7 linked regions of the Canis lupus familiaris genome follow. The protein of the gene in region 2 interacts with the protein of the main gene of each other region in a biochemical or structural test. Links are inferred from orthologs where the notes say so. Each region holds a gene or a part of one and is shown on either strand. Other genes may lie near its edges. The genes, in order: GRID2IP, RPS6KA1, MAST2, PARD3B, ARHGEF12, MAGI2 and ARHGEF11.

Region 1 (4,076 bases), on a different chromosome or scaffold from region 2:
TCTCCCTGGCAGGGCTGAGGACAAGGCCTGGAAGGATGTGGCATGAGTGCTGGCTCTGACTTCCTAATGCTGCTGGGGAGAAAAGCAGCCCTGATTGGTCACAGGAAGGTGGTGGCCTCACTGGGGCCAGGAACGTGGGGGCTGAGGTGTCGGGCAGCGTGGTTCGAACCCAGTACCAGTCAGACCATCAGGCCTGTAGGTGCCTCTCTGTGACCCGCTGCAGGAACCTGTAGGCAGAACCATGTAAGATGTTCCTTCCTTCTAGCGACTGAGACACAGGGAGAGTCCTAGGGTTTTCTGCCTCTGCAGCTCCAGTCTGTCTGGGTAGTGGCCAGTGCCTGGTGAGGAGAGAGCCTTGTGTTAATGTCCCCCAAGGAGCCCCTCCTCAGGATGTCCTGGGCTGGTTCCCAGGTATCTATGTGCCCTTCCACCCGCAAGCGGGACAGGACCACCGAGAAATGACAATGCAGTAGCTTCCCTGCAGTGAGCACCTGCTCTGACTTCCACCAGCAGCAGGCCCAGAGCCAAAGGTCCAGACTCCCTTTCTTGTTATCACCCTCTTTTACCTTTAGCTGGTCCTCCCATCCTCTCTCCCAGGAGGAGACCCTCTGTCCTCCCCTACACCCCAACCTGACTCTCCTTCCTCATTTTCACTCACTCATCAGATCTCATACATTCCCTTTCCTCTGTGTTTCTTAGAAGCTAGCCACTTGCCCCACTCCACACCCTTCCCTGTTCCCCTCTCAGCCTCACCCACTCCCCGAGTGCACCAAAACCCCTGGGGTCCCTCCTCCTCTCCTTAAATCCAGAGACCCTCCCCGGGCTCCTCAGTGTTCTCAGAGTTCAGCGATAGTATTCAAGGCCTCCCTCTCTAGCCGCATCTTGATTGGCGCTTTGCCCTGGGTAGGTGAGGAGGGCTTCCCCTCGCGGACCAGCTCCCTAGCGCAAAGGCCACACCCTCCGGAAAGCCTTCGCAGGCTCTACAAAGAAAGTCGGGGCTTCTTCCGAACTGTGGGGTTCAGTCTCGCCGCAGCCAGGTGCCAGGGACTCGCCACGGTGCCGGGGACCTGGGCGCGGCGGCCCGAGAGGTTGGAGGCGAGACACCTGGGGGCGGCCGAGAGGAAGCGGCGTTGGCCGCGCTGAACCGCCCCCCAGCTCCCCGGGAGCTAGCCGGAGGGTCCCCCGTGGGGGCGGGGCGGGGCGGGGCCACCCGTAGGGGGCGGGCGCGGGGCCGCGGGCCGGGCAGGCTCGGGAGGGGCCGAGTGCGCTCGCCCGGCAGAGGCTGGCGGAGTCGCGGCGCCCTCGCTCTGCTCGCGGGCTTGGCCACCCATACCTGCCGGCACCTGCCACGCCGCCGTCGCCGGCTCCAGATGGGGAAGGACCAGGGCTTCTCTCGGCACTTTCGGTAGTTCCCCCCCGCGCCCCGCGCCCCGCGCCCCCGGGAACTGTGCGCCCTAGGCGCGGCGGACCCGCCTCAGGCGGCCTGAGAAGGGGTGGGGCTGGGGTACTGAGGTGGACACTCACCCGGCGCAAGGGGGGCGAGCTCCCCGCGTTGGATGCCTGGAACCTCCACGCGCCCCTGGGGGTCGGGATGGGGGTCGGAGGGCACCGAGGGTCGGGACCGGAAAGCCCTCTTTCCTTTCTACGATTGGGCAGGTCTAGGGAACTGGGGATGTGGTGGAGAGAGAGAGGACCCTAGCGCAGCCTCTAGGAAGACTCTGGACACGGATTTGCACCTGACCCCCCAGGCAGAGGGAACGGAGCTGGCTGACAACATTGTGTGGCCAGGGAAGAGCCCTGTGGTCTCCAAGAAGCCTGTTGGCATAGCAGGGACCTGGACATCCTGGGGCAGCTGTACTGTCAGGGTCAGAGGAGCAGTGATGTGCCACAGTGGTCCATGAGGCCCCATTGTGCCTGGCTGTCCTGGGGTGGGGGGGGGGGGAGTGGATTCAGAGCAGGCCCAGGGCTAGCCCAGACTCGTGACTGCATGGAGGGCCAACACAAGCCAGGAAGGGCATCTGGCTCATGAGGCAGCCTTGCGCTTTGGCTTAATCCCAAGGACGCAAAGCAGGGAAAAGGCTACCAATCATCTCCCACCTGTGCACTTGGTGACTCACCATGGTTACCACCGGGGTGGGGGGAGGTGAGGGGCAAGGCCTTTTTGAATTGCTGCTGGAGAGTAGGGCTGGGATGGTCATCTGGCCCCTGCCCAGGTTGGACCTAGGGTCTTCTGGAGCCTGAGGCTAGAGCCCAAAGCATGAAGTGGACAATCTCCAGCTTGTCATCCATCTTTGACTGGGCATGAGGCACATGGTAGATCTGGGAGGGTGTGGGTAATGTGCAGGCCAGGCAGATGGAGGTGTCAGGTTCCAGGGACCTTGAGTAACCATCTGGGGAATGAGGCCTAGGCTCTAGATTTTTGGGAATCACTGTGAATGGGTGAGGATGAGCATCAGGCCAGAATGCTCCTGGAGGAGTTGAGTAGGTCTTTCATTTTGGCCTCCTAGAACATTCAGACCCAGAACAGAGGTCACTGAGGGGCAGCCTTGATGCACCCGCCTCCTGGAGGATCCACATTCCTTCCCCCCCTAGCAGGCAGCTTATACTGCCTGCCTGGTCTTATTAAAATCCTACCCATAGAAGTCAGGAGAACTAAGTGGAGGACTCCAAACAACCTCAGAGGAGTTGTATTTCAGTTGGCTGCAGAGCCATTGTTCCCATCTTCCTTCCTCCTCCCCACCATGCCCTTGGCACTGGCTCCTGGTACAAAGAGCATGGAAGGGAACGTTGGGATGCAGTCAGGGAGGCCTCACTAGCAACCAGAACTTCAGAGGCCCTCAGCAGAGTCCTGCCACAGTGCTGAGGCTCAGAGGCTGGCCTTCTGTCCAAGCTGTGCCCAGGGCCAGCTGTGTAGCCCTGGCAAGTTAACAGATCTCCTCTGAGCCCCCTGATCCTCTGCCACAGAGAGTCCACTAGGATGTTAACTTCTGCCATTACTTGGAGAGGTACGTTTATGCTGCTGGCGGACCCCCCCCCCCCCTTGTTTCCTGAGTCACTGAGTCCCTCCCCGTGCCAAACTCTGACTGGTCACTATGGCTCTCAGCCCAGCTACAGCTCTAGCCCTCAGGGAACTTCCAGCCTTGCAGAGGACACTCACAGGTACCAGGGAATCATCCCAGGGTGTACGCTCTGCACAGGGTCCATCCAAGCCTCCCCACTGCCTCCCATCACATCCAGGTGCCCTCTCTGAGAGGAGGAACCACAGAGCCTTCAGCTCTGAACCCAAGTGCCTGGCTGGCACAGACAACAGAGTCTTACTGAAGCATGTAAGATCAAACTCACAGAGGGCCAGCGCTGGGCGTTGAAGGTTGAGCCCAGTGTAGCTAGGAAGCAGAGAGAGGACCCTGGGCGAAGGGCTGCAGCCAGGGCAAGAGTGTAAGAGGTAGGGCTGGATGTGGCGGTTCTGGCAATTTCTGAAGAGGCAGCTATAGAAAGGGTTGGGCAGAGAAGCAAGCAGGACGGCTGGGAGTGTGATGAGTGTCTGGAGGAAGTCTGACCGTGGCCGGGCTGTGGTTTCAATTTCCTCCAGCAGACTTGCCGGGCATCAGGTAAGAAGAAGATGGGTGGTGGGGGATCCCTGCTGGGGTTTGGCCTGGCAGGTGCAAGAGCATGAAATGAGGAGAAAGGCCAGAAGTGGGAAGGCAGAGACAGGAGGAGGAAAAGGTCCACGGATGGGATTTGGGGGCCCTGAGTAATGGGGGCGGTCCGATTGTGACTTTTCCGAGGTGGAGAGCCAGGCACCGCGGTCCTTGTGTGCCCACCCCCCCGCCCCCGCCGGTTGGGGCGCAAGTGCCAGCACCGCGGGGGAGAATGAGGCGCCGGCTGCTGGTTCCCTTGTTACCCCTCGGGAGGGGCGGGGGGAGAGCCTAGGTCGGCGCCCAAGACAGGAGACTTTTAGGGCGCGGTCTGGGGACGCGCCCCGACTCAGCGGTCCTCGCCGGCAGGATCTTCATCCCCAAGAAGCACCGAGCACGCTTCGACGAGGTGGTGTCGCAGGGTCTGCTGGGCAAGCTGTG
Region 2 (4,281 bases):
GAGTCTCTCCATGTTCTGATATGGATTGATCTCTAAGATACATCATCTCGAACAAGGCAAGATGCAGAACAGTATATACAGGGTAGTACTTTTTGTAAGGAAATGGGGGTTGGAATTCAGAACATGTATCAGAATGGTTTGTATTACTAAAGAAACCTGGGGCACTTAACCAAGAAATCAATAAAAATGTTTACCTATGGGGGCATAGAGGGATGGGGTGGGAGGAAGACTTCTCAATATTTTTATTTTCAATCATGTAAACGTATTACCTATTCAAACACTAAAATAACATTTAAATTTTTTTAAAAGCGTGTTTCTCTTCTCAAGTTTGACTTATATTAATGGTCCCATTTTAATATCTGGCTCAAATTCTTTTATGTCAGTTAAAATCCTTTTGGTTAACACATGGGACATAATGTTAAAATATCTAAATTTCTGGGCAGATTTGGATTTCTTCCCATCCTCACAGCCCTGCCTAGGGCAACCTCGGAAGAATGGAGGTACAGAGGTGAAAGAACCCTCAGCTCCTGGGAATCAGAGTGGCATCAGAACCATGGCCTGATCCTCCTCCTCCATCCTGGGAGAAACTCTGAGGCTTTGCCAGGGTGTACGCTCTGTCCCAGAGTGGGTTCCTAGGTCGGGTCTGCGGGGCAAGCCTGAGTGGTCCCAAGTCCAAGCCACACTGGACATGTTCTTCACTGAGCCCTGGGACAAGAGGTCTCGTTGTCCCTCCAGCTCCAATCCGGGGCCCAATGGCAGTCAAGTGTCAGCTTACCTCTTTAGAGAGCCGGGTAAAGAGGTCTCCACCACGCAGGAAGTCCAGGATAAGATAGAGCTTTCCCTCCGTCTGGAAGGCTGGGGAGAGGGAAAAGGCAATGGTGGAGCCAGCTGGGCCCTGGGCCCTGCCCCTCTACCCTAAGCTCCCTTTGTCTGCTGGGGTAGGGGTGACCTAGGGGAAAGGTAGTAGCCCACAGGCAAGGGCAAAGGCTGGTAGGTCGGGTGGGAGTTCAAGTAGGGTCTGTGATCTCACCATAGTGCAGCTTCACCACAAATGGGTGGTTCACATCTGCTAGGATGTCTCTCTCCATCTTGGTCCGAACGCGGTCACGCACTGGCCAGAAGAGAAACGCAGTCACAGATAATCTAGCCCCTCAAAACAGTCATCCCCAAGCCCTGGCCAAGAAGGGCTCTCTCTTTCATGTGTCCCTCCCATCTCACGGCAGTGCCCAGAGTAGAGCCCTTGGCACCCTGCCCATCCCACTAGTCCCATCTCCTGTGCCCAGTTCGGCTCTGCTTGGGGAGGTGACCTTCACTCACCTTTCAGCGTTGCCTTCTTTAGTACCTTCATGGCATACAGGTGCCCACTATCAGGTCGGGTGATTTTCCGCACTAGGAAGACCTGAGAAGGCAATGGGAAAAAGCAGAGAAATTGGGGAGGGGACTAAGCCTATCAGCTCCTATCCTCTGGGTCCTAGGTTGACCTCTAATTTTCCAGAGTCCTAGGTTGACCTTCGGGCCTCCCTGGGTACCAGAGTGACCTCCTGCCCTCCCCTCAGACCCATCAACCCTTGCCCTCTGATCCTGAACCCCAAAGTGACCCCTAACCCCCACCTCTGACATGAGTTGCCCTCCCAGTTTGGGCTCAGGACTCACTTTGCCAAAGGATCCCTGGCCCAGAACCTTGAGCAGCTCAAAATGGGATGGGTCGGCCTTCTCAGAGCCAGCCTTGACATGGTGCGTGATGGAGATCTCCTTTAGGACGCCCTCATCCTGATGGAGGAACAGAGCTGGTGAGTATGGTTGTCCCATCCAGGTGAGCAGGGAATATGGTCCCCATCCTAGCCTACTCCTCCTGGAGGCAGGGCCCTGTTAGCCATACCAGATGGCCATACTGATGGGGCCAGCCTGCTGGTTCATCAATACCAAAAGGGCCTCAAGGGCCAGGGATGGTCAAACTACCAAGGTGCTGAGTCAGGGGGAGGCACTGCTCCTACTGCCCCTGCTGCTCTGACCTGGTGAGACCCAAAGGGATACCCAGGCACAGCCCAGGTCCTGCCTGTGGGACTCCCCTCCCCCTGCTGCAAAGGTGTTAGTTTTGCCACAATAGGAAGTAGTGTGTATTCTCATACCGGGGAGGTAGAGCCAGGCTTTTGTTCCGGGTCAGAATGGATGAGAGGATCCTTGGCCAGAAGGACAGTGCTCAGATGCACAGACACTCAAGAGTCACTAGAGACCACCCCCACCAACCCAGTAAGTGCCAGTCAGGGGTGGACAGGAGCTAAGGCCGAGACTCCATGATCCACTCTTTGAAACTTCCTTCTAGGAGTTTTCTAAAAATCCGTTGCTGGTCCTAGTTGTTCTAGGACCCTTCTGCCCTCCCTCCAATCTGCCGGGATTGCCCTGGAGCCCTGAAGTGCTTCCTCACTTCCCCAGGAAGCAAGTCTGGGCAGGGTCCAGTTGTCCAGTAGGGCCAGGCCTGGGCTAGGAGAGCCGGAAGCCAACTAAGGCCAAACTAGCTGCCCAGGCACCTGCTCCAAGGACCACAGCTGGGCCAGGACCACACATCTGGGCACACTCACCAAGTCCCGCCTGGGGCCAGAGCCAGGGCCAGGGGCAGGCAAAGAGGTCTGGCTGGTCCTGGGCCGCTGCTTCCTGGGCAGCCAGGGGAGCAGGGCCCAGAGCCGCAGGCGGGGCGGCTTGGGATCCTGCTCCATTCGCCCGGCAGGGCCAAGGCACCATGGCAGGAGCAGGCAGCGTCCGGGGCTGCCTCCGAGGTGGCCGGGCCCAAGGCGGATGTGCAGGGTGAGGGCGGGGGCTGGGCCCAGCTCAGCACCGCCAATCACTTAGGGCCTGTGGTTTCCCAGCTCCAGGCCTACAATCTTACCACGTTCCCTTCCTCTCTTTTGCCCCCCTCCCCGTTGCCTGAGTGCTGCCCTCCGGCCCTCCCCCTTCCCCCATCCTCCCTGTGGGCCTACAAAGGGAGAGCCCCATGCCACTCCAGCTGCTGAGGGGGAGACAGGTACCCAACAGGCAAAGACTGGCATCTAACATGCAGAGGCAGATAAAGAGGGACACCCAACAGATAGAGGCAGGCATCAACAGGTAAAGACAGACCAAGGTAGGCATCCAACAGGCAGAGGTGGGAGGGTACACATGCCCACCAGGCAAGGATGGATAGGGACACATACCCAGCAAAGGGAGGTAGGAAGAACACTTACCCAATGATCAGAGACAGATGGGGACATGTACCCACCGAAACAGAGGCAGGAGGGAACTCATACCTGACAGGTAGAGGTGCATGGGGCATATATCCAACAGGCAGAGACAGAAGGGGACGTGAACTCAACAGGCAGAGACAGATGGGGACCCAACAGGCAGAGGCAGATGGGGGTTTGCATCCAACAAGTGGAGACAGATGGGGACATGTACTCAACAGGCAGAGACAGAAGGGGACACCACCCAACAGGCACCCAACACGTGACATGTACCCAACAGGTGAAGACAGGCACTCATCAAGTGGCAAGAGACAGGAACCCGACAACAGAGGCAGGTGGGACACAGAAAGAGAAAGCCAGTCAGTAAGGCCCAAGTAGACTGACAGATACCCAGGCCAGTGCACAGAAAGCCAGGCCCGGAACTCAAGGGCAGAGCTCTGGGTTCTTGCTAGTCTTCTGGGAGGTGGGGTGGGGGAAGAGGTGAGGGGATATCACCTGCAAACATCCTGCATCTTAGAGAGCAGCCCAGTATTCATGGCAGACACACCTCTGAGGTTTCATCCCATGCCAGGGCCTGGAGAGGCCCCAGGACTAACACAGTGGGCTGAGAATGCAGTCTGATGGCTTTGACTCTGATCCAGGTTTCCCAAATCTGTTATCCCCATTTCAGATACAGGAAACCAAGGGCCAGAGGACCGTGACTCACCCAGCCTGAGAATGGACCAGTGACAGAGCCAGTGACACTCAAACCCTTCCCCTAGTTACTGCCTGGCATGGGGTCAGCAGGCCTCAAGTGCCAGGAAAGGGTGAGCAGGTAAGTCAGCGAGAGCCATGCCCTGCCCATCCAAGCCCATCCCCTCCCTCAGTACCGGGATCAGTCCAGGGACTTCCCATTCTAGGTCTAGGACCCGACAGACACGGCCCCATCTTCAGGGGACCTCAGAGAGCCACAAAAGCTACAGTCATAAGAAGCTACAGGCTCTTCAGGCCCCTGAGCATAACCCTGGGTGGGACATAGGGATTGAGGTGAGCCAAGGCCACACAGCAACCCTTGCCCACCCCGCCC
Region 3 (4,282 bases), on a different chromosome or scaffold from region 2:
TTCTTATAATGGCTTTTTGGAAGATGGGTTTGAAAAGAAAAGGAGTAGATGTAGGCGAACCAGTTTATAAAGTTTCTTAGTCAAATAGGTGAGAATAAGTAAGAGTTGAGCTGAGGTGGTGTCAGTGGGATGGAAAGAGGACACAGATTGGAAAGATAGTAAGGTTATAGAAGCAATGTTACTTGTTGATTAACTGGACATGGGAGCAGAAGGGGAGGAAAGAGTCTAGGATGACAACCAAATTTCTGGTTGAGGCAACTAGACGGATGGTGGTGAGGAACTGAAACTGGGAATACAGGAGCCAACTGGTGATAGGCTGTATATTTGGTTATGTGTGTTGGGTCTGGTGTCTGACAGACCTTGGTTTGAGTCTTGGCTTTGCACTTATGAACTATGTCATATTGAGCATGTTATGTAACTTGAGACTCAGTTTCCTCAATTATAAACTGGAAATAATATAACTTTTGTTTGTGTATGTATGAATAGAATGCACAGCCTGGTTTCCAGGAGGCACTCTATAATGCTGGCTATTATTACTTCCCAAAGAGGGTTTAGGGAAGAGGCCCAGGATAAACTGAGAGAACTGTGTTCAAGACAAAAGAGGAAAAATACAACGTTGTGGCAGCCCAGCTGAAGCCAGAAGGAGGAGGCCAGACAGGGCTGAGCTACAGCCACGTTGCTGTGAAGATGAGTCACTGGAAGTGCAGGCAGGGCTGCCCAGGCCACAGCTGGACTGGCTGTGGCCAGGCTGGACTGGGCTATAACATGACTTCATTGTCAGTGGGGAATCATGAGAATTGTTCCAGAAGCCTTTGTGTCCTCCTGTTCCTCCCAGAAGGAATCCATCATGTCTTCCTCGTCTATAGGACTTTCCATACCCTGTCTTACTTTCTGGAAGCAGCAGGAAACAGTAGAAAGGGGACAGAAAGCAAGAATTTGAGTCGTCTAGTTTGATCAGTGGTTTGCCGACTGACCTGGCGCGTGTCACTTTACCTCGGTCTTCTTGCTTTGTAAGACGAGAATGACCAGACCTGCATCCAAAGTGTGACGTGAAGACAGTTGGCGAGTGCTCCGTAAAACTGTCAATAAAGGACGGTGGGTGCTCCATCAATTAATTGTATATTTTGTCTTCTTGTTCCTGGTCCCTCTCCCGCTCGATCCTTGAAGACACTGATTCAATCCTAACTCCTTTTCAGATCCCTAGCGCTTAGCTTGGCGGGGTACACAATTTCATGAATGGATGAATGAAAGAATCAATGAACGCGCTCCGCCGCCGCAGCCGCGCCGGGAGCCCCGCCCCCTTCCGCTCTGCTCACCTCGCGGGGAGGCCACGGGCGGGTCTCTCGCGACCGTTCGCCGGCGCGTGCGCGGGAGGCGGCGCGCGGCCAGAGGCGGCGGGCGGGCTCCCCGTGCGCGCGCGCGGGGCGGGGAGGGCAGGGGCGGGGCCGGGCCAGAGGCAGGCGGGCGGGCCGGCTGGCTGCTGGCTGTGGAGCCGGCGGCTGTGGCGGCTGTGGCGGCGGCGGGTGGCCCGCCGAGCGTGTGCCGGGTGGGAGAGGACGAGGCGGCGGGGATGCTGCCTCCTCCCTAAGGAGCGCCGAGGACGTCGCGGCGCTTGAGGCCCCAGAAAGCGCGGAGGAGCTGCGAGCTGGGGTCGGTGGCTTCGGGCGCCCGCCCGGCCATGGTGGCCGCGGGCGGTGGTTGGCGCGGCAGCGCTGCGGCCCGGGGCCGTGCGGGGCCGGGACAGTCGCGGTGCTGACGCCCGCGGGGCCCAGCCGCGGATATGAAGCGGAGCCGCTGCCGCGACCGACCGCAGCCGCCGCCGTCGCCGGCCGGCCGCCGCGAGGATGGGGCTCAGCGGGCGGCGGAGCTGCCTCAGCCCCAGCCCTTGCCGCCGCGCCGGCGAGCGCCGCCCGGGAGGCAGCTGCTGGAGGAGCGGGCCGGGCCCTCGGGGCCCGAGGTCAAGGAGCAGGTAAGGCGGCCGGCCGGCGGCCGGGAGGGAGAGGATGGGGAGCGGGAGCCTGAATGGGAGCAGTGGGGGAGGGGGTCCTCCGGCGGGAAGACGGGCTAGGGCTTTGGAGGGGTGGGGACTATGTAGTTCGGCCGGAGGAAAGGAAGGTCTGGAGAGGCAGAAAAATGGGGAGTGGAGAAATGGAAGTCATGGCCTGGGGTTGAATGGAAGTGGGGGAACAAGGATTTGGAAGAAATGGTCCTGTGGGCGTCTGTAGTCAGGGATACTGGATGCGAAGAAGGGACGCTGGAATGTGGCCTGGGAGTAAATGAACTGCAAAGAATAGGCTCACTAGAGGGACACTGAGGAGTTGGCCCGAGGGGTAAATAGTGTATGTAAAGTAGGGAAAATCAATGTGATGTAGTAAATGTTCTTTACCAGAGGTTGTCTTGACTGTTATTAAAAACGGATGTCATTTCTAGGCATTCTTTGATTTGGCCATTATTATATAGTCTTGGAGGAGTGCGTTCAAATCTTCAAGATTCTTTTCCGTAACGATCTGTTTCACGAGAAAGCACTTTTAAAACACCTGCATATGTGCAATTCCAAATCCAGCGCCGCGAATAGAGAATTTACAGGGATAGGCTCTGTCTTCTGGGAGTTTACCACTGAAAACATCGTCTTAGGAAAACGGAGATAGAGAGCAGTGTGAACGTATTCGTGGAGTTTCTGAATGGACAGGATGTGTGTATAATTCATTAATCAAGCGTAGGTGTATTTAGAAATAGGGGATAAAGGTCAGTTGTATCAGGGAGGAGAAAGTAGCTGTAGAGGGTGCAATGAGAGGAGACTGTGTGGTCCTGACTGCATGGATTTTGCAAAAACATATTCTGTAGTAATGAACTCTATGACAGTTTTCCTTTTGTTCAGCCCTAGTAACTTCATCCTTGACTTTTTCAAGACCTTTAGTAGATTTGCCTCTTTTTCCATCAGTTAAATAAGTATTTTACATAGACATCATTCTTCATTGTTCAGTTTCAGTGATGCACATGCTGGCACTTGGATTTTTTCCTTTTGTTCTTTCACCTTTTATTCTACACCCAGCTCCGAGTAGACTGCCTCATTCCCTATCTCTGCCCTTGGTTTCAGGCCACTGAATGTTGTCCCTGGCTATAATTTACTCCCTCATTCTTGTTTTTTTTTTAACTTTTAAAGATTATTTATTTATTTATTTGACAGAGCGCGAGGGAGAGCGCGTGAGCACATGCAAGTAGGCAGAGTGGCAGGCTGAGGGAGAGGGAGAAGCAGACTCCTTACTGAGCAGGAAAGGAAGCCCACTCAGGATTGGATCCCAGAACCCTGGGATTATGACCTGAGCCTAAGGCAGATGCTTAACTGACTGAGCCACCTAGGCGCCCCCCTCATCCTTTTTAAAAATATTCTCTGCAGTACCTAATTGAAACTTTTAAGATGTTTAATCCTTTAATCCTCTCCTGACTTAGTTTACTTGATTCAGTTGACCTGCTTCACTGAAGAGTTCAAGGTTATTTGATTTTTCCCTTCTTCCCTACCTCACAATTATGTATTTATATAGCAAGCAAGCAGGCTCTCCACCCAGTGTGGGACTTGAACTTACGACCCTTAGGTCAGGAGTCACATGTTCTACTAACTAAGCCAGCCAGGTGACACTCTGTCTCAAAATTTTGTTCACTCATCCTTTGCTTAAATTCTAGAGAAAGAAGTATTCATCCTCCTCTCGGAGGCTATCCTTGTGCTTATGTGCTTGATTTCATCCCCTCTCATCTGATATAGGCCCTTGTTATGTGTCTTATTTTCTTTTTGTCCTATACCTCCGAAAAAAGCAAAATACGGTTCCCTGGATTGTGTAACTTACCTAAGTTACTTTGTTATCTCTTCTTTGCTTTATTAGCAACCTTCTTGGAAAATGAGTTTGTATTCACTGTCTCAGCTTACTTACCTGTATACATTTCTCATATTACAATTTGGCTTTTTTTTAAAAAAAGATTTTATTTATTTATTCATGAGAGACACAGTGAGAGAGAGGCAGAGACGGGGAGCCTGATGCAGGACTCGATCTCAGGACCTAGGGATCACAACCTGAGCCGAAGGCAGATGCCCAACCACTGAGCAACCCAGGCATCCTGGCTTTTTTTTTTTTTTTTTTTTAAGTTTGTTTATTTAAGTAACCTCTACACTCAACATGAGGCTCGAACCCATGATCCTGAGATCAAGAGTCCCATGCTCTTCCAACTGAGCCAACTAAGCACCCCCCCTTTTTTTTTTTAAGATTTTATCAGTTTATTCATGAGAGAT
Region 4 (4,107 bases), on a different chromosome or scaffold from region 2:
GTTCCTTAACCTCCCTTAGCACATTCTTCATGCACAAAATGGGAAACACATTTACCTCCCAGGGTCGTTGTCAGGCTCAAAGGAGCTCGTTGTTACGCGAGCTGAGAATGACACAAATATTTTTTTGTTGAGTTTTTTTTTTTTTTTTCAGATACACCTATTTTAATTGGTGGTGAACACTCACCTGAGCCTCAGCGTGTTTAAAATGGTCTTTGTAGCCAGATGCACAACAGGAGGCCCATTTCAGAAGGATACATGGAAGCATATGCATCATTTCTGGGTCTGGGATGTGACCTTTGGGGCAAGAGTTTCCTCCTCTGTGATATGAAGGGTTGGCTGCAGCACCACGTTTATCCCCCAGAACCCTTGGGCTTTGCCAGAGGACAGAGTCGGTGTTCTGCCGCAGACAAGGCTCCTGGCAGGCCCTCGGGCCAACCTGCAGCTCAGCACCTGTAAGCCGCCACTCCCCGGGAGGGGGAGGGGGAGGGGGAGGGGGAGGGGGGCGGGGGTGGGCGTGGCGCCAGGCACCTGCTCCGGACTCTGCTCGCGTCTCGCTCCAGTCCTCCCCCCCCCCCCCCCCCCCCCCCGGTCGGTGCAGCTCCGCAGCCTCCCAGCTCGAGGAGGGAGCACCCTCCAGGGTGCTTCAGGAGATCCGGTTTCAGTTCCCGGGCGGGTGGCTCTCAGGTCCCGTTACAGGTCCCCAGGGCTCGGCGGCTGTGCGGGAGGGCCCGGGCCGGGGCAGCGCTCGAGGGAGGAGGGGCCGAGGCTCCCGGGGGCTGCAGGCCCGGGAGCGCCGCGGCCCCTTTAAGAGCGGGCTCAGGCCAGCCCCGGGGCCGCGGGGGCCCAGCGCGCTCGCGCCGCCGCCGAGTTGATCCGGCGCAAAAGTTTCCTCCCAACTCCGGCCCCGCGCGCGCCGCCGCCGCCGCCGCCCGCTGCAGCCCGGGGCCTGGGGCCTGGGGCCTGGGGCCTGGGGCCGCCGCCGCCGGGGCAGGGCCGGGGCAGGGCCGGGGCACGCCCGGGGCACGACCGGGCACGACCGGGGCACGCCCGGGGCACGGCCACAGCCCGGCCCGCAGCTCGGAGCCGCGGGTCGCCGGGCCGGGCCGAGCGGGAGCCGGAGCCCGCGGAGGAGGAGGAGGGGGAGGAGGGGGAGGGGCCGCGGTGCCTGCCCCCCCCCCCCGGGGCACCCGCTGCCCGGGACGAGCCCCCCCCCCGGGTCCCCGCTCGCCGTCAGCCGCGGGCGGAGGGGGCGCGGCCCGGAGCCCCCGCGGTCGGCGCTGTGCCCGGGGGCGCACACCTGTCCCAGCATGAAGGTGACTGTGTGCTTCGGCAGGACGGGCATCGTGGTGCCCTGCAAGGAGGGCCAGCTGCGCGTCCGGGAGCTCACGCAGCAGGCGCTGCAGCGGTACCTGAAGACCCGGGAGCAGGTGAGCGCGGGCGGGGGGCGAGGCACCTGCCGGGGGGCCCCGCCCGGGACGGCGTCGGCCGCTACCTGTGCGCGCAACTTCGCTACCTGTGCGGCAACGCCGGTGACCTGGAGGAGGTCTTTGGGCGGGTGGGGAGGGCCTTGCCTCTCAGGGTGGCGGCAGCAAAGGCCGCAGGGCGGTCGCTGGGGGGCCTCGCTGCGGATGCTCGACCCGGCGCCCCATCCACGCCCCCTGCCTCTGAATCTGGGGCGAAACAAGCTCCCCGGTGCTTGGAATGAGGAGTGAAGTTCGAGAAGCGCTGCTTTGGAAGGTGTTCCAGAGAGCGCTTCTCTCAGGCGAGTGTTTGCAGGTGCTGCTTGCTCCAGCTGTGATTTTTTTTTTTTTAAGATTTTATTTATTTATGAGAGACATACAGAGAGAGAGACAGAGAGAGGCAGAGGGAGAAGCAGGCTCCATGCAGACAGCCCCATGCGGGACTCGATCCTGAGTCTCCAGGATCACGCCCTGGGCCCAAGGCAGGGGCTCAACCGCTGAGCCACCAGGGGATCCCCCTCCAGGTGTGATTTCTTTTTTAAATATTTTATTTATTTATTCATGAGAGACACACAGAGTGGGGGGGGGGCAGAGACACAGGCAGAGGGAGAAGCAGGGTCCATGCAGGGAGCCCCATGCGGGACTCAATCCCGGGAGCCCCATGCGGGACTCAATCCCGGGACTCCAGGATCACGCCCTGGGCCCAAGGCAGGAGCTCAACCGCTGAGCCACCCGGGGATCCCCCTCCAGGTGTGATTTTTGACCAGGGCGAAGGCCCGCTCCACTTCTGTCCCTCGGAGTTACAAGGTTGGTTGGTGCCAGTCGCAGACCCTTGGAAGTTACAACTGTTGGGGCCTTTGGGATTGAACTCTTGGGAGCTGTTCGCCCTCAGTGACTGGAACAGGAACTTCGGTGGAAGGATGCTGTTTGCCACCACTAACCCGTCTACGTTTTGAGTATCTTTAGTTCTATTAAGTATTTACTAGCGAGCGTGCTGTGTCAGGCCCTGCGTGACTACTGAGTAGATGGTTCCCAGCTCTGTCCCTGAAATCAGAAACAAGTAAAAGTTAAGTGACTATTACTTTTAGGTGTGCAGTGCGTCTTCAGAAGACTTAGCTAGACACTGGAGTTCATGATAGGTGTTTGGGTATCATACTGGGATTCTGTGTCTTCTTGATTGGAATCTTTAAATGAAGGCATTGAAAAGCACCTTTTTCTTTTTTGAATCTTCAAATAGAACAGTCTACCCCAAATCCTCTTCAAAAATGACAAGTCATAAACTCTTGCATTTGAGATCAGTGACTCTCTTAGTATTTGTTCTCCTGCTTTGAGAACTGTAGAAATGGCCTGTAACACTGCATGAGTACCCCATTCCCCCCCCCCCCCCCCCCACTGTTACAATAGTGTATGCTGTCTGGTATTGTGTAATTCAGTTAGGAACTGAGATTTGCACAAGTATCTAGTTCTTGGAACTGTGTTTCCCTAACTTTTGGAAGTAAGCTAAGGTTAATAATAACATTATTCTAGACAAATTATTACATGTCATTGAAGGATCATCTTAATGAGATCAGTTTACTTTTTTACTAGTTCAATGGTACAAATAATTTATACTCTAACATCTTGTGTATTTAGAAGCTTAGAACATGGAGCTGTCCAATAATAGAAGTAAGCTACATACTTATAAATAACAGAGGACTAGATGAAATTCAGTGTGTTATAATTTGATCTTAAAAAGTGTTAAAAAGCTATTGATATCCTGTACCGAAAGCATAATTTATAATATCACAGAACCTGTAATGTAATTGTATTGATCAGTTTACTGTTATTACCAGATATTACATTTTTCTATGTTTACATTTCTATGTTAGTGAATGTGACATTTAAAGGTCACCTGCAGTTTATAAATCCTCCCTCCCTTCTTTGGCTTTTAAAATCTCAATTTAATAAGTGGCAAGTGATATTTTTTCTTCCCCAAATCTCTCTCTCCCATAGTTTCATTTAAATAGTATTGTGATCATAACAAGGCTTAACTAATATTAAATGGTATTCCTAATGGAACTAAAATGTCAAGAAATAATCTGTCAAATTCCATGCTTTCATTCATTGAATATAGAAAATAATGAGAAAAGACCAGAAATGTCAAAATTCAATTTGAAAAACAACTTGTCGTCAGTTCACTTTCTTTAAATCAGTGAAAGAGATTTAAAAAGCTTGCTCGCCTGGACAGCAAGGTTTTTAGCCCCACACTCAGTAATAAAAACATAACGATAACATGAGTTGTGCTTACTCTCTGCAGACAGTGTTGTAGGACCTTTACGTAAGTTAAATGGCCTCGTGAAGCAGGTAATGATAGTTTCTTTTTACAGATGGGGGCAGAAAGAGACAGGAATATGAGTGACATGTGGTAGAATTGAACCCAGGAACCGAGTCTCTGGATCCTTACTCAGAGTCGCTGTGCACAGCCCGGTAGTTTATTATGCATTGGAATTTATCCATCTTATTTATTTTTTAGTTTGTTTTACAAAGGCCATCCCATTTACAAGCTGCTGTAGTAACCTATCAACCTAAAGATGGCCATTTTGTTTCTTGCAGAGACTTGTGACCTGCACAGGTTCCTCTTGATTATATCTTATACAGTATAGGCCTA
Region 5 (3,500 bases), on a different chromosome or scaffold from region 2:
TTACATGAGGCTTTTGTATTAAGGAACTGCTTAGGATTTTCTTTCTTGTGCTCTTTCAGTAGGGGGTTGCTTTTGCAAATTGTATTTGGTGGCTGGTAGACTAGACTTGTATCACAGAGAGCAGCTTATCAAAAAGCACGCTTAATACGCTTAGCCTTCACTTCCAGAGGATGAGATTTTTCTAGAGCTACCTATACTAAGGGCTGATTTTCTTACTAAATTATTAATATTTAGTAGGAGTGCCTGGGTGGCTCAGTTGGTTAAGTGTCCGACTCTCGATTTTCAGCTCAGGCCATGATCTCAGGGTCCCACATTGGGCTCCATGCTCAGCAGGGAGTATGCTTGGAATTCTCTCTCTCCCTCTACCCTTCCCTCCCTTAAATGAATGAATGAATGAATGAATGAATGAACGAACGAATGAATCTTTTGATAAAATAAATTATTAATATTTAGAGCAAGATCAAGTACTACTTGGACTTTTTCATGAGTACTGTTCCTTAGAACTTTGTTTGGAACTAGAGCCTGGCACTCACAGGCCTCTTACAGATAGATAAACTATGCATCATCCTCATCTAGCTATTCATAGAATAATTAGATGGGCTGCAAATCCAGTGGCTGAATGCTTGCAACTTCATTTTCATAAGCAATTATCATATATTTATTGTGAGACTTGGAAGGCAGTCCTCTGAATGTTTTTCAAGATACCTCTAATTTTTTAGGAAATTGTATGCAGCTTACTGTAACTTGATCTTTATTCCATGTTCAGCAGTTCGCAAATACCAATAATGATAGTGAAGGTAAATGGTATCTTTTATATAAAGAATTTATTGAAAAGAGACTCTATGGCATATCGTCTCAGAGCTTGGAAATAATTTGTGTGTAATTCTCTTTATTTTGGCAGAATTTGGATTTAACGAAAAGGAAGATGATTCATGAAGGGCCATTGGTCTGGAAGGTGAATCGAGATAAAACTATTGGTAGGTATCGTGTCTGTCAGTTTTACGGAGAGTGGAGAAATTAAAGTTCCTTTGGGCCAAAGAGAAGAAACAACCGTTCACAGATTTTGGCAACAGCAGTGAGCAGTGCTGCCCTGTGTTATATTTGCAGATCTGCTTATGGTATTTCTTTATAGGTGAAGTACATTAAATGTTCACTGAGGGGGAAAAGCAGAAAAATTTGTCATGATTCAGTCATGTCTCCATCATTCTTGTATTCTAATGAGCTCTCTAATAAGCTTTCTTTAAACCACTCCATTTCAAACTATCTATGCTGAGGAATCATGGTGGCTTTTTTTTAATTTCTTGTCAGTCACCGACTGACGCTTTGGTGCGATACAATATAAAAATGAATTATTAAAAAATGGAACTAAAAAAGACAATAGCAAGTCAATTTTTTAAATGTATTAGCTTTAACAGAAATAAATTTTCTCTGTCAAATTGTTACAAAGTTTATAAAACACATCTCAGTTTCTACACTAATCACCTTCTCTACATTTTGGTTTCCAGATCTATACACATTGCTGCTGGAAGACATTCTTGTATTGTTACAAAAGCAGGATGATAGACTGGTGTTAAGATGTCATAGTAAGATTCTGGCATCCACGGCTGACAGCAAACACACATTTAGCCCTGTCATTAAGTTGAATACAGTGTTGGTTCGACAAGTGGCAACAGGCAAGTATGTCCACAGAGTGACAGTAGCTTTCAGGTTCATCATAAAGTTGCATGAGATCCTTGGTATTGTTTAAACAGCCCAGCTGGTAGAGAGTTTCTGTTTCATTCTTAAACAAATGAAATGAAATTTGGTTACTACTTAAAGAGTTTCTACCCCCAAATTCTTTGGGGTGCCTAGATTCTCTGAGCAATTTTCTGCTCTTGAAAATTTCCTGCATACCGCTTTAATCTTTAGTCCATGTTCACATCATTGACAGACTACCACGGAAGATGGTGAATTGAGGGATAATCCCAATGAAAAGAGTTACATGAGAGTGGTATGCTTTTTGATTTGTGGTAAAAGAGCAAACAAAAACAGAGAGGTGGGTGTAGTTTGGGTTTTTTGAAATCAGTTTAAGTTAGCAAATTATACATTAACCGTAGTAACAGTGGGATCCCTTTTCAAACTTGTCAGTTCCATAGTGGCAAGATAAGCTGACGACCTCTTTTCTTCATCATTTACTAAATTTCATTAATTAACAATTTAGCAACAGGGCAATTCAAAATAAATGCAAAAATGTCATCGTGTTGAGTAATTCAGATGTATGTACACCTCCTTGTTTCTATGTGGAACCCGGGCTAGTTTTTAGGATCTTTGTTTTATTGGAGTATAACATAGACAATGTAACATATGATAAGTTACACAAATTTTAACTTTATAGCTTGATGAATTTTTACAAAGTGAGCACATTAACCTTTACCCAGATTAAGATGCAGAATAAACCAGGACCCGAGAAGTATCCTTCACGGCTTCTGTAGGTCATATCCATGTTGTGAGAGTAATTTTTGTCTTGTTTCTTCCAGATAACAAAGCTTTATTTGTCATCTCCATGTCAGACAATGGAGCCCAGATTTATGAACTGGTGGCACAGACTGTTTCTGAAAAGACTGTGTATGTATTAGATACAGCTACCTTGCTCTAATAGTTTTTGTTATAGATATATAGAATATAACATTCTATAAACTTGGTTTTTGTAATACTTCGGGAACCAAAAACTATATTGAAAAAACCACTTCCTCTATATTTTTTAAGAGATACTGTCTAAGAACGTGGTCCTCTCAAGATTGATGTCCCTTGTTTTAGCGCTATGCTATTGAAAGTATCTTTTCTAAAGAACAATTCTCAGAAGCATCAAGCAAAGGTTTTTAATGCGTGCTGTATCCATAACATTGTTTGCTTAGGTTTTTCTTGAAGGTCCAGTGTTTTTTATCATCTCTACCTAATGTTGCCAAAATAAAGACACTCTCTGGTGGAAATAGAGTTTTTTTGTTGGATTGGCTTGGTTTGGTTTCTGGTTTGTTTTTGTTATTATTTCTTTCTGAGTGTATATTTAAAGGGCATTTTTTTTTCCTTTCCCTTTTGGATTTTGGATCCTTTTCACACTTCCTGCAGCTGGCAAGACCTAATCTGTCGGATGGCTGCATCAGTGAAGGAACAGTCCGCAAAGCCAATCCCATTGCCACAGTCACCACCTTGCGAGTGAGTGTGCATTTGCGTTGTAGTAGGACTGACTCTGTGTTTTGATCAGGAAAGGAACGGATGATCCTTACCTTTCACTGCAGTGATGTTTGGGCATCTCTTGAAGCTGAAAGATTGTTTTCTTTCTTGTACAGAGGAGACAACGATGAAGAAGCAGCTCCAAAGTTAAAAGTGGAACATCATAGCATTTCAGTCCCTGGTTTGCAGAGTCCAGGTAAACTGATCCATTAGGTTTACCTGGAAGAATGTAGTCTATACATTACTTATTAAAATGCAAAGAAACTTTAAGTCTTTTGGTTTATGCAGTT
Region 6 (4,009 bases), on a different chromosome or scaffold from region 2:
AATCCAAATCTGGTCTGTTTGGGTGGACTGCACGCACGTTCTCAACTGCACTTGCCTCCCACTCTCCTCATCCCAGACATCAAAAACCTGAACTGCTCGGTGCTTTTCAAGCTTTGCTCTAAAGAGAAGAGTGGGCGTGCAACTTTTTTTTCCTTTTCTTTCTCAAACGTATCATTTTGAAATAAAGCAAATGAAATTCATTTACCAGTTCCTGGAATTTTAAAACTCACTAACATCCTATTTAAGATGAGTGAAAATGAGCATCACCTTGGCGCCCTGGTCCTCGCCTCTCCGCCGGCTGCAGACGCGGTGGGGCCGGGGCCGGTGGGGCCGGAGCGGGTGGGCCCGGGGCCCCGGCGGTGCGGAGCTCGCGCAGAGCCCCTGGTGCCCGGGGCCGACCCGCGGGGGCCTCCTCCTGCGGCAGCGGCCCGAGCCCACGAGCCCCCCCCCCCGCCCCCCCCACCCCGGGATGCGCTGCCCCGACCCCCGCCCCGGGAGTCCGGCGAGGAGTGCGGCGGGGGGGGGGGGGGGGCGGAGGCGACGCCGGCCCAGCCCGTCCCGGGCGCGCCCCGCCCGCCTGCGCGGCCCTCCCCGGGGCACCTCGCGGGTCGGGGCGTCCGGGCGCCCGCGCAGCCCCGCGGCCTCCCCGCGGCCTCCCGGCGGCCGGTCCCCTCCCCGCGCCGCCTCCTCCCGTAGGCTGCCCGCGGCCCAGCCTGCCTCTCTCTCCGCCTTCACTACCGGGTCAAGCTGCGGAGGGAGGGAGCGAGCCCGGCGAGCCCCCCCGCGGCCCCACTAGTGCACACTCACTCACACTCGCGCGCACACGCACACGCGCCCCGGACCTCGCCGCGGCCACTGCGGCTGCCGCGGGCCCCGGCCCCCCCCCCCCCCCGCCCCGCCGCGCGCAGGAGCGGCCCCGGCCCCGCGCCCCCCCCGCCCCCGCCCCCCGCCCGCCGCGCGGCTCCCGCTCGCCCAGCCCGCCGCCGCCGCCGCCGCCGCGCTCCTCCGCTGCGGGGCCACAGCCCCGAGTGTCATTCCAGGGACAGCAGCCCCGGCCGAGCCGCCCCCCCGCCCGGCCCGCCGTCCCCGCCTCCTCCCCCCGCAGCATCCACGCTCCGTCCCGAGACGAGGGGACGCGCCGGGCAGAGGGGCAGGAAGGCAAAGTCTGATCCCTCGCCGCGCGGCGCCCCGGCTCCCCGGGCTCCCCGCCCGCCTCCCCCTGCCCCGCAGCAGCCCCTCGGGAGCCGAGGCCGCCCACCCCACTGCCATGTCCAAAAGCTTGAAAAAGAAAAGCCACTGGACGAGCAAAGTCCATGAGAGTGTCATTGGCAGGAACCCGGAGGGCCAGCTGGGCTTCGAGCTGAAGGGGGGCGCCGAGAACGGGCAGTTCCCCTACCTGGGGGAGGTGAAGCCCGGCAAGGTGGCCTACGAGAGCGGCAGCAAGCTGGCGTCGGAGGAGCTGCTGCTGGAGGTGAACGAGACCCCCGTGGCGGGGCTCACCATCCGGGACGTGCTGGCCGTCATCAAGCACTGCAAGGACCCCCTCCGCCTCAAGTGTGTCAAGCAAGGTGAGCGCGGCCGCCCGAGCGCGCGGGGGGCGGGGAGGGGGCGACGGCGGGGCCGGCGGGGGGCGCCCCGGGGCGGGGAGGGGGCGACGGCGGGGCCGGCGGGGGAGCCCCGGGGCGGGGAGGGGGCGACGGCGGGGCCGGCGGGGGGCGCCCCGGGGCGGGAGGGGGGCGACGGCGGGGCCGGCGGGGGGCGCTCCCGGGGCGGTGGGGGTGCGACGGCGGGGCCGGCGGGGGGCGCCCCGGGGCGGGAGGGGGGCGACGGCGGGGCCGGCGGGGGGAGGCTCCCGGGGCGGTGGGGGTGCGATGGCGGGGCCGGCGGGGGGCGCCCCGGGGCGGGAGGGGCGACGGCGGGGCCGGCGGGGGCGCCCCGGGGCGCGGGGGCGCACGGGCAGCCGCGCTGTGCAAGGTGCTCGGCCTGCGGGACCCCGGCGGCGCCCGCGAGCTCGGGGGGCGCCTGGCTGCGCGTCGGGGCTCGGCCCGCGGTGCACGGGAGCCTCGGGGCGGGCGCAGGAGCTGCCCCGGGCGCCCTCGGGGCGGCTGGGCGACGGCCAGGGCAGGGACGCGGCGCGCGGGGGCTCGCCCGGCTCTCGGCGAACTTTTCCCGGTCGGCCCGTGTCCCCCCGCCCCCCCGCGCATCATGTGGGCACCGCGCGTCACGTGCGCCCTGACTAACGGGCGCTCCCGGGCCGGCGGCCGCAGAAGGCTCGAGAAGGCGGGCGCCCCGGAGAGGAGCGGGGGGCGGGGGCCGGCGGCCCGGCCTGGGTCCCCGGGCCTCCCCGGAGCCGTGCCGGGCCGCGGCCGCCGCAGCTTGCAGGGCTCGGATGGGCTCCGATGGGCTCGGCTCTGCCGAAGGGGAAGTAGGTCCCGGCGGAGGGCGGCCCCGGGCCCGGCGAGGCCCCCGCCCCGAGCCCGCACGTGCGCCCCGTCCGGCCGCCCCCGCCCGCGCCCGCGCCCGCGCCCCCGCCCCCGGGCCTGCGCGCAGCCCGCCCCGACCCGGCGACCGCCCCAGGACACCCTCCTGGGGGACCGTCCGCTCCATGACGTCCGCTTAAAAAGTCAGCGAGGGAAAGAGAAGTCTCGGGCAAAATTTCTAAAGTACAAATTGCCGCACAGGACAGCGTCCTCACTGGGCTGCCGGGGCTGCCGGCCGCCGGCTCTAGGCCCCCGGAGCTCACAGCTGCGCGCCCCGAGCATCCAGGAGTTTGGTAGGAAGGCAGGCTCCTCTCTTGCTACCGTGCTGAGGCTCAACCAGAGGGATGCGTGTGAACGTATTTGATGCCATGATACTGTCTTAGGGCGGTAGTTCCCAGGGTAGAGTCCTTCCTGCCCGCGCCTTGCCTGGCAGCAGCTCAGCATTTGGAGGGGTCGGTGGCAGCGGCAGGCGGTGCGCTGTGAGATCCCACTAATGACAGCATCCTAATGAGGTGACGGTCCCACTGTCATTGGCGGCGGTGGCCACATTTTAGTGTTGTCTTCTTTCTGAGCACCGCATGGTGAGGAGGACCCCGGCAAACTGACTCTAGCAGCAGCAAGACTGTGTCCAAAAAAAGAAAGAGAGGCAGGTCAATCGGTATCATAGATCTATTCCATAAAATCCAATAGGAAGGCTTGGAAAAGTGAGGGCATGAAAGCTATCATTATATATGGAAAGGCTATCAAATAAGAAAAGGAATTTTGACTATCCGGTGATAACTTCCACAGGGCAAAAGTAAGATAAATTCATAGAAAATTGTAAAGCATGAAACAAACGTCTTTGTTTACATGAAAAAGATGAGCTTTCTAAAAAAAAAGAGAAAGATGAAGAATAAGATGAGCTTTCTAACGTAATTTGCCAAAAATCTTGGGCTATATTGTGAATTCATGAGCTCCCTGTCATTTGGGGTCTTTATGAAGAGGCCAACATGACCAGATGCCGTGAGTCCAATGTAGGATGGGGCCTGGACTAGATGTTATTTAAATCTTGCAGTGATTTGATCCAAGGTACTCTCTGATCACTCAACTTCTATATAATATTTTATTTGAAAGATCATCGCTTTTAGAACTCACGGAACATACAAATATAAAGTGATATATATATATATAAATATATAAAGTTTTCTAAGGGAAAAATCTCTCTCCTTTCTGTATTCACTCTCAGTTCTGGGCTTCACTTGGTCATTGATGATTGATGCTTGTCATGATATTCAGAGTCCCCGGGAACCTGATTCACGTCCTGAGTCATTATTGATCAAAAAAGAAAAAAAAAGTGCTTCCCTTAACTTTTGTGGAAAAATATAATCTTCTTGTATATTCTTCTAAATATGATGATTCATATATGCTATTCCTTTATTGAAATCATTCTTTTCCTTGCCAAACAACATATAGGTTTATTTTATGGATCATAGTAAGCAAAGTAAAATTTCCATACTGTTAGATAATGGTGCCTGTATCTCTTGGGTTTT
Region 7 (3,500 bases), on a different chromosome or scaffold from region 2:
TCACTGTGGATCTCTATGAGCTCGGGCAGGTTGGGGAAGAGCCGGGCCAGCTCCTCCCGAGGCATAAGGTTCTCCTTCTTCATCCGCTGGTAGAAGATAAGGTCCAGTACCCGGAGCGTGCGCAGATGGGAGGCCTCTGTCACAAATAGCTCTGAGCAGAGTGGTCACAGAGTGGGAGCAAGACAAAAAAAAAAAAAAAAAAAAGAGGTCAGCAGGTATCCAAAGTGACGACCGCTTCACTTCTGAGGCCACCGAGCACTGGTGTCAGATGGTATGGCAATGTCCCCAATCCCAAGGGCAGGAATGGTGACCCAGCCTGGACCTGTCCCTGGGTGCTGCCCGACTCACTGCCCACCCATCAGAGGCACGTGGCCTCACCGTTGATGACCTCCTGCCGGTCGATCTCCCTCTGGCTCAGGCCGGCCACCACGTCCTTGCCCACCGTGTGCTGCCAGTTCTGGGTGTCAGGCTCGGGCTCTAGGTCAGACAGCTGACCCAAGTCATCCTCCAGGAGGTGAGGGAGGAGGGCGTCAGTGCAGAAGCCCAGGCTGGGGGACTCAATGCTCCTGGGGGAGAAGGCGCAGCTTCACGAGGAGGAGGGACTCACACGAGGGTTCTGTCCCTCCGTTTCCTGTGTACTGCGCCGTTTGTCCTGAGCCCGCGGGAAACCAGTGGCCATGAGGAGGAGACGCACACCCACCCAGTCACTCAGGGACGGGAGCGTGGCTGGGCTGTCACTCACCTGCGGCCCATTTTGGGGGTGAAGGGAGGGGTTGGGTTCTCCAGAGACCTGTGGAGAGAGGTCAGTTCTCAGTGCCGTCGCACCCACCCCGCTGGGCCAAGCCCAGCCCCTGACTGCCCCAGCCCTGCCCACCTGGTGGAGAGGCTGGAGGCAGAGGAGGAGGCGGACTGATGGAGGCGGGCCGCCTCTGCAGCTGCATCCATGTCCACGTCGCTGCGAGAGCGGGGCACGTTCTCTGCCTTCCGAGACCGCTTCATCTCCTCCCGACCCTTCAAGCTCTCGGAACGGCCCAAGCGAATCTCTGAGCGGGAGCTGGGGAAGTAGAAGAAGACACCCTGGGGCCTCACGTCCCCGAAAGCTTTTATCGGCTGCCCTGACTCGGGGTGCCTGTGGCCTCCTGCAGGGCCCAAACTTCTCAGTGACAACTCCCACAGCTGTCCTACCATCTCCTGCCTCTCCTCCTCCCTGTGACCCACCAGGAAGGTGAAATCTGGGATCAACAGATCAGATGCCAAAGACTCCAAACACTCCAGGAAAGCTTTGGACACCAGAGGCCCTTACCAGGGACTACCAGGTCCCTGGCTCTGCTCTGGGCCGTGTGGTGGCCAGTCCCTCTTGCCTCTGCTGGAGCAGGTCAGCTCCCACCATGGACTCTGCTAGAGGCAGAGCTCTCCTTTTATAGGATTTTCTCCAGGGAGCTATAGGTGTTACCCTCACACACCCATCCAGGCCTCCTCACAGGCCTGGCAGAGTGTCTACCTGCTGCCAGGCTCTTGCCCTTCCAAGCTGTGGTGTAGATTCTCCCATTCTTAACTTGTAGTATACCTCCTAGCTTCCACTCCCTTCCTGGGGGCAGGCTGGCTCGGGAGGGCCTGTCTACAGACTGGCAAGAACCTGCCTGTGGCCTGCCATGTTTGGCCATCAAGTGTCTCTGGGACTTGAGGTGCCGATGGCTGAGTGTTGCTCCTTTCTGCATCCTGCAGTGCATGAGGCCTGTGATAGCTGGCATCTCTGAGCCCTGGCTGCCCCAGGATGGTGCCTCCCTGCACGGCCCTGCTGGGTTGGTTCTTGCTGATACTATCACTGATCTACATCCTGCCCTGCATCTAGGACCACAGGCGGCCTGGAGAGCATGCAGGGTGCTTAAAAGCACAGCAGGGTTGCAGCGAAGGAGCCAAGCATCTCAGTCTGCATTTATAACGGTTCTCTGAACTGCGAAGGACTCACATGGAGCTGCCCCCCTGGGGTCCTGAGGGTTAGAAGCCACGCTGCCAGCTGATCCCCTTAGAATACCCTGAGGTCTGCTAGAATGCCTCCAACTGAGCCTGCTAACAGCACTTTCACCAGTGCCCCACAGCGGGCCACCTGAGCACTGGGACAAGCCACCTAGCGAGACTCTTGGAGCCGCAGAGCTGAGTGCCTCCCTTCCCAAACCCCTAAGTGAGTAACACTCCTCCCCATGAGTGGGGCACACACCCACCTCTGGCCCCTAGTCCCTAAAATACCACTTTCTGGAACTAAGGTGTGCCTTCTATCTGCTGGCCTCTGCCCCCTCTGTGCTGCTGAGATTGCCAGTGAGCCGGCCATGGGCCAGGCCAAAGGCTGCCACTGACAGGGGATTGGGAGTCTATTGAGTGAGTGTCTTAGGGTACAGTTATAACCTAGCAACTTTAAGACCACAAGTTTGCAAAAGGCCTCAAGTTATCCTCGAAATACTGTTATTCTGTCTGTATAACTTCATTTGACACATCTTTAACTCAGGTTTCTATGTTTAATTCATTCACTAATATCAGAGCTCAAGCTCTCAGCTCAGGACAAATTTAGCTTTCCTCTTCCCTTAAATTTTTGTCAGTTCTCCCTACAGCAGTCTGCCCACACGGCCGAAGCTTACAGAGGCTTACTGCAACAAGAGGAACCCCGTGTATGCACAGAACGGCAGACTCATGGTGTGACGATGGTTTCACAGGTAAAATGGTTTGACTACCCAGGCCGCTACCTGGAGGCCGGGAACACCCCTGCGCTGTGGATCAGGCTTGGTTGCACGCGCGTGTTATTTCTGCACATGCAGGACCACATGTACTACGTACAGCTCGAGGGTAACTGAGGGAATGCATACGGACCTTTCTGACCAGGGGTGGTTTTTGCTAAGTGCTGGCTAGAGGATTTGAAACAGGACATGTCTGCTGTCACACCACAGTCAAGAGTAAGTCCAATGCCAGAAGGGGTCTCATTAGAACCTGGCCGAGATGGAGGCATGCGAGATGCCACAGTGTGCAGCCCCCTTCTTGTTTTCGAGAGGGGAAGAGCGGTTTGCTTTGAGGCTGCAGAACCCAGTCTCTAGCTCTCCTCCTCGTGTCCACAACCATCTCTGTGTGGCCTCCCTATCTCCCAGGATCTCCCCTGGCCACCCCGCCCCAGTCTTCTCCAGCTTGTCACCTAGGGTGTCTGGAGTAGCTGCTCTATTACACCATCTAGCTCATTCTTGGTTCTTGGGACAGAGGCTGCGGAGTAGCCCGGGGATCCAAAGGAAATGTTAAGGGGAAGCAGTCCCTGGGCTGGGAGGTCAGGGGCCCAGCTCTGCCTTTTGCTGGCCTGACCACCAATACAGCACATCTCTTCCTAAAGATCTCCAGGCGGGAAGGTGGTGGGAAGAGTTGTGAGTTCTGCAGTGGGAACCTTATGGTGCAGTGGAGTCGATGAAGCAGCTGGGATTAACCCAGGCTCCCCTCCTTGGGAAGGTGGCTAGTGCCTCCCCCTC

Evidence for each region.
Region 1: the proteins of RPS6KA1 (region 2) and GRID2IP interact in a test that uses a peptide from one of them, tested with the Homo sapiens proteins (2 studies listed by BioGRID and IntAct, with this or other methods). The link is inferred for Canis lupus familiaris from reciprocal best matches to the Homo sapiens genes RPS6KA1 and GRID2IP.
Region 3: the proteins of RPS6KA1 (region 2) and MAST2 interact in a test that uses a peptide from one of them, tested with the Homo sapiens proteins (2 studies listed by BioGRID and IntAct, with this or other methods). The link is inferred for Canis lupus familiaris from reciprocal best matches to the Homo sapiens genes RPS6KA1 and MAST2.
Region 4: the proteins of RPS6KA1 (region 2) and PARD3B interact in a test that uses a peptide from one of them, tested with the Homo sapiens proteins (2 studies listed by BioGRID and IntAct, with this or other methods). The link is inferred for Canis lupus familiaris from reciprocal best matches to the Homo sapiens genes RPS6KA1 and PARD3B.
Region 5: the proteins of RPS6KA1 (region 2) and ARHGEF12 interact in a test that uses a peptide from one of them, tested with the Homo sapiens proteins (2 studies listed by BioGRID and IntAct, with this or other methods). The link is inferred for Canis lupus familiaris from reciprocal best matches to the Homo sapiens genes RPS6KA1 and ARHGEF12.
Region 6: the proteins of RPS6KA1 (region 2) and MAGI2 interact in a test that uses a peptide from one of them, tested with the Homo sapiens proteins (2 studies listed by BioGRID and IntAct, with this or other methods). The link is inferred for Canis lupus familiaris from reciprocal best matches to the Homo sapiens genes RPS6KA1 and MAGI2.
Region 7: the proteins of RPS6KA1 (region 2) and ARHGEF11 interact in a test that uses a peptide from one of them, tested with the Homo sapiens proteins (2 studies listed by BioGRID and IntAct). The link is inferred for Canis lupus familiaris from reciprocal best matches to the Homo sapiens genes RPS6KA1 and ARHGEF11.

Annotation. Positions count from the first base shown.
Region 1 is NC_049227.1:11,937,458-11,941,533, reverse strand, and holds the start of GRID2IP (delphilin), read left to right. Parts: upstream 1-1,276; 5' UTR 1,277-1,370; coding exon 1,371-1,405; intron 1,406-4,004; coding exon 4,005-4,076.
Region 2 is NC_049223.1:72,914,096-72,918,376, forward strand, and holds the start of RPS6KA1 (ribosomal protein S6 kinase alpha-1), read right to left. Parts: upstream 2,801-4,281; 5' UTR 2,715-2,800; coding exon 2,580-2,714; exon of another isoform or gene 1,812-2,579; intron 1,791-1,811; exon of another isoform or gene 1,771-1,790; coding exon 1,654-1,770; exon of another isoform or gene 1,400-1,653; coding exon 1,318-1,399; exon of another isoform or gene 1,112-1,317; coding exon 1,031-1,111; exon of another isoform or gene 856-1,030; coding exon 776-855; exon of another isoform or gene 1-775. UniProt on the Homo sapiens protein: Serine/threonine-protein kinase that acts downstream of ERK (MAPK1/ERK2 and MAPK3/ERK1) signaling and mediates mitogenic and stress-induced activation of the transcription factors CREB1, ETV1/ER81 and NR4A1/NUR77, regulates translation through RPS6 and EIF4B phosphorylation, and mediates cellular proliferation, survival, and differentiation by modulating mTOR signaling and repressing pro-apoptotic function of BAD and DAPK1.
Region 3 is NC_049236.1:14,658,085-14,662,366, reverse strand, and holds the start of MAST2 (microtubule-associated serine/threonine-protein kinase 2), read left to right. Parts: upstream 1-1,482; 5' UTR 1,483-1,780; coding exon 1,781-1,969; intron 1,970-4,282. UniProt on the Homo sapiens protein: Appears to link the dystrophin/utrophin network with microtubule filaments via the syntrophins. Phosphorylation of DMD or UTRN may modulate their affinities for associated proteins. Functions in a multi-protein complex in spermatid maturation.
Region 4 is NC_049258.1:13,109,824-13,113,930, forward strand, and holds the start of PARD3B (partitioning defective 3 homolog B), read left to right. Parts: upstream 1-1,307; coding exon 1,308-1,427; exon of another isoform or gene 1,428-1,494; intron 1,495-4,107. UniProt on the Homo sapiens protein: Putative adapter protein involved in asymmetrical cell division and cell polarization processes. May play a role in the formation of epithelial tight junctions.
Region 5 is NC_049226.1:13,554,684-13,558,183, reverse strand, and holds part of ARHGEF12 (rho guanine nucleotide exchange factor 12), read left to right. Parts: intron 1-901; coding exon 902-977; intron 978-1,505; coding exon 1,506-1,673; intron 1,674-2,516; coding exon 2,517-2,604; intron 2,605-3,105; coding exon 3,106-3,192; intron 3,193-3,326; coding exon 3,327-3,406; intron 3,407-3,500. UniProt on the Homo sapiens protein: May play a role in the regulation of RhoA GTPase by guanine nucleotide-binding alpha-12 (GNA12) and alpha-13 (GNA13). Acts as guanine nucleotide exchange factor (GEF) for RhoA GTPase and may act as GTPase-activating protein (GAP) for GNA12 and GNA13.
Region 6 is NC_049239.1:19,579,186-19,583,194, reverse strand, and holds the start of MAGI2 (membrane-associated guanylate kinase, WW and PDZ domain-containing protein 2), read left to right. Parts: upstream 1-1,209; 5' UTR 1,210-1,267; coding exon 1,268-1,568; intron 1,569-4,009. UniProt on the Homo sapiens protein: Seems to act as a scaffold molecule at synaptic junctions by assembling neurotransmitter receptors and cell adhesion proteins. Plays a role in nerve growth factor (NGF)-induced recruitment of RAPGEF2 to late endosomes and neurite outgrowth.
Region 7 is NC_049228.1:41,065,902-41,069,401, reverse strand, and holds part of ARHGEF11 (rho guanine nucleotide exchange factor 11), read right to left. Parts: intron 1,055-3,500; coding exon 875-1,054; intron 791-874; coding exon 743-790; intron 567-742; coding exon 379-566; intron 152-378; coding exon 5-151; intron 1-4. UniProt on the Homo sapiens protein: May play a role in the regulation of RhoA GTPase by guanine nucleotide-binding alpha-12 (GNA12) and alpha-13 (GNA13). Acts as guanine nucleotide exchange factor (GEF) for RhoA GTPase and may act as GTPase-activating protein (GAP) for GNA12 and GNA13.